2 linked regions of the Oryctolagus cuniculus genome follow. The protein of the gene in region 2 interacts with the protein of the main gene of each other region in a biochemical or structural test. Links are inferred from orthologs where the notes say so. Each region holds a gene or a part of one and is shown on either strand. Other genes may lie near its edges. The genes, in order: SRI and ANXA7.

What was found.
Region 1: the proteins of ANXA7 (region 2) and SRI interact in a biophysical measurement, tested with the Homo sapiens proteins (2 studies listed by BioGRID and IntAct, with this or other methods). The link is inferred for Oryctolagus cuniculus from reciprocal best matches to the Homo sapiens genes ANXA7 and SRI.

What each region holds. Positions count from the first base shown.
Region 1 is NC_091447.1:47,179,989-47,183,792, reverse strand, and holds part of SRI (sorcin), read right to left. Parts: intron 2,141-3,804; coding exon 2,097-2,140; intron 820-2,096; coding exon 672-819; intron 393-671; coding exon 279-392; intron 1-278. UniProt on the Homo sapiens protein: Calcium-binding protein that modulates excitation-contraction coupling in the heart. Contributes to calcium homeostasis in the heart sarcoplasmic reticulum. Modulates the activity of RYR2 calcium channels.
Region 2 is NC_091446.1:64,512,974-64,517,565, forward strand, and holds the start of ANXA7 (annexin A7), read right to left. Parts: upstream 2,849-4,592; 5' UTR 2,713-2,848; intron 1-2,712. UniProt on the Homo sapiens protein: Calcium/phospholipid-binding protein which promotes membrane fusion and is involved in exocytosis.

The sequences.
Region 1 (3,804 bases), on a different chromosome or scaffold from region 2:
TTTCACATTCCAGGCTGAAAACCCTCATAAGATAATGTTCTGGAATATTTTAGTAAGATTTAGTGAAGATTATTTTAGAGGCAGATTACTTACTAACCTAAAAAGACTTTTGGACACAATTTGGTCGGATACACCTAATAGCAATGGCAGACATCCAACTAAACCAAGGGGGGAAATGGGGAGAATCAAAGTACAGAGGCACTGAGATATGTGACATGTCGGACGAGCTGTGTCTTCCTGGCTCTGGGGGTGGGGGAGCACGACCTCACGGGACGCACCTGTGAGGGCCCTCAGCTTGACACAGCAGGCGATGTAGTCATCGAAGGTGATCTTGCCGTTGGTGCTGTACCGTTTTGCAATTGCGTTCACAGCCTGCGGACTCAACCTGAATCCTGAAAGGGAGAGAAACTGTCCAGCGGAAGAACTCAAGGCCTGCCAAAAGAGAGACCGTGACACAAGAACCAAGCGCGATGCTTTAAGGTGCTGAATTCATTTGGGCTAAGAGGACACAACCACCACTAAGAACCAGAAGCTGCCTTCAGGAGCTCTTATTTTGAGAATGAAAAACAGAAAGAACGAGTCCTCCCAGTTCACAAAGCAGGGTGGCCCCATTCCTGCGCCTAAGTGACCCTCTGGTTTCGCGCGCTTTGTGCTGGGTCGGCCATACGCACCCATTGCTGTCAGCGCCTTCTGCAACTCCTGTGGCTCCACGGTTCCACTCCTGTCGCTGTCAAAACTGATGAAGTGTTGTCTCCAGCCATTCAGCACGGCCCAGAGTTCTTTAAATTCAGTGAAACCCATGGTGCCAGACATATCTCTCTGAACCGCCATCAAGGATCACAGCTTCTTTATTTCACAATGTTTTCTAATGATTGTATGCAAGTTCAAGGATAAGAGGCACTCAATGTTCTTTCTGATAAAATGGCTAAAAAAAAGTCACTGCAGATGCTTCTTGCTATAATAAGAATAAATTGATGATAAAACAAAAAAAGATACGACAGAAAGGGCCCATGGAGGAGAAACTCCGAGTAACCATAATAACTGTGGGGAAAGATAAGCTGTGAGAGCCGATAACCAAGAACCGGCAGCACCACCGTGAGCCCACGCGAACAGCCACTGTGTTGCAGGAACTGGGTGCCCAGGCGGGGCTGTTCATCCTCAGCCCTGGGCCCTCTATGCTCAGACATTCCCTTGTGAAACCCTCCTGTACCCAAGGACTACAATTTCCGGGAAACGAGGTGGGAAGGAAGACACCATGAGGTCAGCACAGGAAAACTGATGTGAAAAATCGCATCGCTTGGAAGTCAGGTGTCACTCACATGGAGCAGGCAACGTGACAGACAAAAGCTTTTCTGACCCGCTGGCTTCTGGAAGGGGGACTTCCGAAAGTTTGTGAAGAAATGGAATTCAAAGGTAATTTTGGTGCAAGAAAATTTTGAAACCTATGCATACATTTTTTCATATGTACTTTCCATGAGTTTTTTTATTTTTTTGACAGGCAGAGTAGACAGTGAGAGAGTGAGAGTGAGAGAGAGAGAGAGAGAGACAGAGAGAAAGGTCTTCCTTTGCCCTTGGTTCATCCTCCAATGGCCACCACAGCCGGCACACCATGCTGATCCGAAGGCAGGAGCCAGGTGCTTCTCCTGGTCTCCCATGCGGGTGCAGGGCCCAAGCACTTGGGCCATCCTCCACTGCACTCCCTGGCCACAGCAGAGAGTTGGCCTAGAAGAGGGGCAACTGGGACAGAATCCGGCGCCCCGACTGGGACTAGAACCTGGTGTGCCGGCGCCGCAAGGTGGAGGATTAGCCTAGTGAGCCGCAGCGCCGGCCTCCCTCCATGAGTTTTTAAAGTACCCTTGGCTTGTTTTACTTTGATTCTTCCTTGTATGTTTGACTAACATTCTACTTACTAAACCTCCTTTCGTTCTTTTTTCATATCAAATCACATCCAAAAAGGCAAATCATTTCAGAAGGCTTCTGAGTGGTCATTTGTCTCTTCATGTTGACTGGGTTTTAATTCTGAGATAACGTCCCTTAAGGGTGAATTTTTTTTGTAAGGAAACAACATTCTAGACAAGACTCAAAATAAAGGATACATCCAGCATTGAGACCATAAGTCGACAAGTCTCCAGGTTGAAAGCTGGTAAGAAAAGGACACAAATACATTAACACAGCTTCAGAAATCCACCCTACACTGAGCACGAATTAATTAAGATGTGGTTATTCATATACTTTTGTTTTTATACACAACTCAATGTACACACGGCTGAATTTTATGGAGTTTTAAAGTAAATCTCTTGGTAGATACACACAATTCCTTCTAGAAAGCAAATCTGATTTTAATGAGTTCAGTCGGCACTTATAAAAAAAGGACCGCACAGCGCGTCCAAACATTCTTGCCTTTGACACTGCCGACGGTGAGTTCGGTTCACCCTAAGGAGCCACTTCTTTTCCCTCCCGTGGCGGGCAGGAGGTAGGCCTGCCTTGACTACAGCTAGCTGGTTCTGCTCCTTTCTGCATGGTCACTTGTTTCGCTTTTTCCTTTAATGAAAGGCACTGCGCGGTGCCCTCCTGTCTCAAGCAGCCCGTGGCCTCTCCCCCTACACAGGTAGCTCTCCCTGCACAGGAAAGCGGAGAAGCATGCCTGTTAGAGTTGTGTGCTGAGTCCGGGAAGGCCTGATGACTGACACTGGGGCAGTCACGTTCCGAGGCCATCACTGTTCGCCTGCGGCCGGGGAGTGTCCTCAGGGCATGTCAGAACTCACTTAATGCAAGCAAACCGCAACACACCGCATGGGTGTGGCCCCTCGTAATCTACCTAAAACCTCAGGACGGTGACCGAAAACCCACCCAAGCTCTTCTGCGGCGGGATGGGAATCAGCGGCTTTGCACGGGTGAGAAGGAAGCTGTGAGGCTGGAAGGCACCGGTGACAAGGCCACACAGGAGAGGCTAGTGTACCCCCAGCAAGCTGTTAACACACACACAACTCACACAACCTCGAGAGGGAGGGGGAGGGTGGGGGAGGAGACACTCACAGGGGTGGGGGAGGGAGGGTCTTATCTATTGGTTCACTCGCCAGGTGCGTCTGACAGCCAGGGCTCAAGCTGGGAGCGAGGAACTCAATTCAGGTTTTCCACATGGGTGACAGGACCCAGCCGCCTGAGTCATTACTGGTGCGTACTGGGGTCTGCACTGTAGACCCTGAGACTGGAGCTAGAGCCAGGAACTGAACCCAGCTGGTCCAACATGGAGCGTGGGCGTCTCACCCAGCTCCAGGAGTAACACTCCTTCCAGCTCTGCCTAGCTTCAGGCTTTCTCCTCCAACCAAGTGAGGACTGAGCTAACCTTCATTACCGTCCCGTCGCCGAACAGCACACACTGCAGGCTTTCTGCACTTAGCACAGGTGTCTGTGCGCCCCTGTACCCGGCCCTGGGTGGGCCCCAGCTGTTAGCATGAAGCCCAGCACCGTCACTGGTGCCGAACGTCCCACACACGTGTGGTTTACAGAATTAAAAGACTGAGCACTGTGGCCATGTTGGCCCCTCAGTCTCAGGATCCACAGGCAAGGGGTCCCGGAGGTGAGAGCAGGAGGCAACACTCTCCTACACTCTGGGGAGACAGCCGATGGATGACTCTTCGTTCTGACTTCAAAGCAGTGGGGGTGGGAAGTCCCTCATCTGCACCAGGGACTCTCAACTCCGGTGCCTCTCAGAATCACCTGGAGTCTGCATGCCTGGGCTGCACCACCAGCCAGTGAAGTCAGGGTCTCAGAGTGGGGACCCGGGGGTAGTACTCTTTGACA
Region 2 (4,592 bases):
TCTGTCAAAAAAAAAAAAAAAAAAAAGAATTACATAAAGGAATAGAACACAATTTCATTTGCAGAAATCAATCTTAGAGAAATAATTGCACCAGTGCAAATTATGGACCAAGCTATTCATTACAGCATTATTTGTAACAGGAAAAGGTTAAAAATAATCTAGATGTCCACCAATAAGAGACACATGCAACAATTTATGGATATTAAAAAAAACTTATGGATATCCATGTGACAAAGACGCAGCTATTAAAAACGAAGCAGTGGGGCCGGCACCTTGGCTCACTTGGTTAATCCTCCACCTGCGGCACTGGCATCCCATATGGGTGCCAGGTTCTAGTCCCGGCTGCTCCTCTTCCAGTCCAGCTCTCTGCTGTGGCCCGGGAGTGCAGTGGAGGATGGCCTAAGTGCTTGGGCCCTGCACCCGCGTGGTAGACCAGGAGGAAGCACCTGGCTCCTGGCTTTGGACTGGCGCAGCGCTGGCCGTAGCGGCCATTTGCGAGGTGAACCAACGGAAAGAAGACCTTTCTCTCTAACTCTATCCAAAAAAAAAAAAAAAAAGCAGTTTGGGCTGGCATTGTGGCATAGCATGCCTGCAACACCAGCAACCCAAATGGACACTGGCTCAAGTTCCTGCTCCTCCACTTCCCATCCAGCTCCCTGCTGAATTATCTAGGAAGGCAGCACAAGACAGGCGTGCATGAGACCCTGCCAACCACTTGGAAGACCCAGATGGAGCTCCATGCTCCTGACTTTATCCTGGTTCAGTCCCAGCTTTTGCAGTCATTTGGGGAGTCGAACAGTGAACAGAAGTTCTCTCTCCCTCTCTCTGGAAGCCGTCTTTCAAATAAATTTTTTTTAAATAAACCTTTTCCGGCACTGTAACATAGCGGGTAAAGCTGCCACTTGCAGTGCCCACATCCCACCCATAAGGGTACTGGTTCAGGTTCCAGCTGCTCCACTTCCATTCAAGCTCTCTGCGATGGCTTGGGAAAGCAGGCGATGGCCCAAGTCCTTGGACCCCTGCACCTGTGTGGGAGACCCGGAAGAAGCTCTTGGCTTCTGGCTTCGGACTGGCACAGCTGCAGCCTGTTGTGGCCAATTGGAGAGGGAACCAGCGGATGGAAGACCTCTCTCTCTCGGCCTCTCCTTCTCTCTGTATAACTCTTTCATATAAATAATAAAATAAATCTTAAAAAAAGTTTTTAAATTCAAACATTAAATCATCTCCAACACTTAATATGAAGGGGGAAAAAGTAAAAAAGTGCACAAGAGGTCTGCAAACTTATGAGTAAAAAAAATACACTTATTGTCTCGTGTAGTATATGTACAGAATATTCCTGAAAGGATATTCAAGGAAGTATAAAACGGTGGCTCCTGGAGGGAGGCTTACTTTCCAGTGTACCTTGAGCACTTTCAGAATTATGTCTGTATCATCTATTCAAACAGTAGATTAAAAAAATAATCACAAAATGTGACTCAACAAATGACTTAGCCTTGCCCAGTGAATGAGACTCTACTGGTGAACCAGAGGTTTTCTTTTAAACATTCTCTGTCAGCAATCACTTTTTTAAAACCAGAAAATTATTGTTGCTTCTCCAAACCAATCTCCACCCAGTGAGTCACCTAGTAAAAGGGGAGGGGCCCACCATGGGCGTCTCACGGATGGCATGCAGCCCAGGGACAAGAGGCAGCTGTTGCAAACTTACGCGGGGTGGGGGTGGGGTTAAAAAAAAAAAAAAAAAGGAGGAGGAGGGAAACAACAGGAAAAGTGACTAAAGTTAGGCAACAGCAGATACAATTTTCCAAAACTGGCCTCTAGGTCCGGAACGGAAAAAAAAAAAAAAAAGCGTGGAGGGCACGACTGGCCCTGCCCTGGGAGAGGCGCTGAGGGCTGAAAAGCAGTCGAGGTCCGCAGGGGCCGACTCCTGCAGCCGCCTACCTAGCGCTCGCAAAGCCTTTCGCACCTGAGAAGCCAATCGTTACACTCGGTACCTAATCAGGGCAGATGACTATCGCATCAGCTCCCCATCGGCTGGCAGCAACCGGGGAGTCTGAAGGCAAGAGGCAGACAGTGTCACCTCACGGCAGACACCGGCCGGCTCTCCCTCGGTGCCTTGGTTTCCCTGGGAAGGGTCCGCCGCAGGTCACGGAACGGGAATCAAACCCGGAATGCTCTTTCCTCGAGTAGTTAAGAGTTGTGAACCCGAAGCAACGTACGACCTCGGGCTGGCGCACGCCCTAGGGTTAACTACGCACAGCAACGTCCCAAGTTTCCCTAAATATGCAGTGTCACCAGAGCGCGCGGTCCCCAGCCAGGCGTGGTCTTCAGTAACGCTCCTACTCGGCCTCCGCTGCGGGGGCGTCAGCAAGGCCACCCCTGGCCTCAGCCCCTCCACCTGAGGGCCGGCCGTCCCTGCCCGCTCGGATCTGCGCGCCGCCAAGCGACGGCCGAGACCCCCTCCTCTCTCCCAGGCGCCGCCACCCGCGTCCACCTCCACGCGCGCCCACCTCGCAGCCGGGTCCCGAGCCGCTGCCCACCCCCAACCCCACTCCTAGACCCTCCCCGCCCCTCCGCCACGCCCTGAAGCGGGGACACACGCAAAGCGCCAACATCTCCGGGACCGCGGGCCCCAGAGCTGGCCGGGGGCAAGGTGACCGAGCCGTGCGAGGTCAGGGTCGGGGGAGAGTGGGAAGAGGGGCCGCCAAGGCTCACCTGAGGGAGCGGCAGCGTCACAGCACAACCTGCTCGTCAGCAAGATGGAGCCTGGGCCGGCCGAGGGCGGGCGGGACGCCGGCGGCGGCGCGAGCCCGTTAGCAGCGCCGCTGCAGCTGGGACCGCCCCGCCGGAGCCCGGCGCGGGCCGACCTTTCCCCTCGCCCCGCCCCGCGGCCCCACCTGCGGGAAAAGTCGCTCCCTTCCAGTGACCCAGCCGGTTTTATCACATTTCTCGGTCCCCAGGCTCCCACCGCAATCCCTGCGCTCTAGGGAGTAAGGGAGTTGCAGTGGTTCTCGGGGGATCCCCGAGCCCCTTCCGTGGTGGGCGGGGGAGAGGGGCTGACACTACTCTCTGCCTGTGAAATGCCGTCCTTCAGGCATCTTCCGGCGACAAGCACAGCGTTTTGTATTAGCCACCTGTGAAATAGTGGTTATTGGTTCTTCTGCACAGCCAGGAAGTGAGGATGTACTAATCAAAAACGACTCCGCGAGCGAGTTCTTAGGTGATTCTAGGCTCCCTTCATGACAGCATTAAACACACACCAGAAGTGAACATTTGAGGCAATTACAAGGGCTCACACCAATATCTGAAAACGGGTTAAGGAATTTGTATTCCAGGGCAAAAACCACTCAACCTTTCACAGTGGTTCTCAGAATGTGGTCCCTAGAGCAGTGTCATCATCTGGAAACCTGTTAGAAATACAAATTCTTGGGGGCCCCGCGCCACGGCTCACTTGGTTAATCCTCTGCCTGCGGCGCCAGCATCCCATGTGGGCGCCGGGTTCTGGTCCCGGTTGCTCCTCTTCCAGTCCAGCTCTCTGCTGTGGCCCGGGAGGGCAGCAGAGGGTGGCCCAAGTGCTTGGGCCCTGCACCCGCATAGGAGACCAGGAGGGGGCACCTGGCTCATGGCTTCGGATTGGCACAGAACCAGCCGTGGCGGCCATTTGGGGAGTGAACCAGTAGAGGGAAGACCTTTCTCTCTGCTTTCTCTCTGTCTCTCTCACTGTCCGTAACTCTGTCAAATGAAAGAATAAATCTTCAAAAAAAAAAAACCAAAAAACAACAAAACAACAACAAAAAACAAATAAATACAAATTCTTGGGCTAGACCTTACAAGCACTGACTGAAACTCCAGGCCCAGAGTAGGGTCCTCTCGGGTGGTTCTGATGCACACTCGAGTTTGAGAACCTTAAAGCTATTATTTTACATGCATTTCTATGCAAAATCTTGTGGAAGTGGAGCAGGGTGGATTAAGATTTCAAGTGGAAAGAGCAACATACACACGTACCCAAAACGGGTAAAGTGGAAAGTACCTGAGAATGCAGCTATCAGTCACTGCCAAACTCAACGACAGACCAAACCACCCAAGACTCTGGGTACCCTTACTTTCCCCAGCTCCCACTAGTCTCTGTATCTGGCAAGTAAAAGGCCTTTCTGTCATACCTGCCCCCAGATTCCACCAGAATTTAATCGTTCCGGAGAAGCCTAGGCTACTCCTTTGTTTACAGTGTTCCTCGCCCCTCCCTCTGCCTTATCACCAGAAAGGAGTATGTTCCCGACCTGTAGGCCCAAATATCCAAGTCTCATCAGATACTACCATTTTATCCTTCCAACTTGTCCATCTTTCCTAGTATACAAGGCACTGTAGAATCAGACCCTTTCTTTTCTCACACTTCCTGTCTAGCAAGCACTGCCCACTTCCTAACAATTATCTACTTAGACTTGATTGAAACGTTGCCCACCTCCCTCCTGCTGACAAACTCTTCTGATCTTTTGCTTTTCCTTGCCTTTGCTTTGATGGACCTAATTATTCCCTTTAGTTCTCAACTGGATCTTCTGTAGATGCCCACTATGGCAGTTAAGTGGAGTCAGAGTACA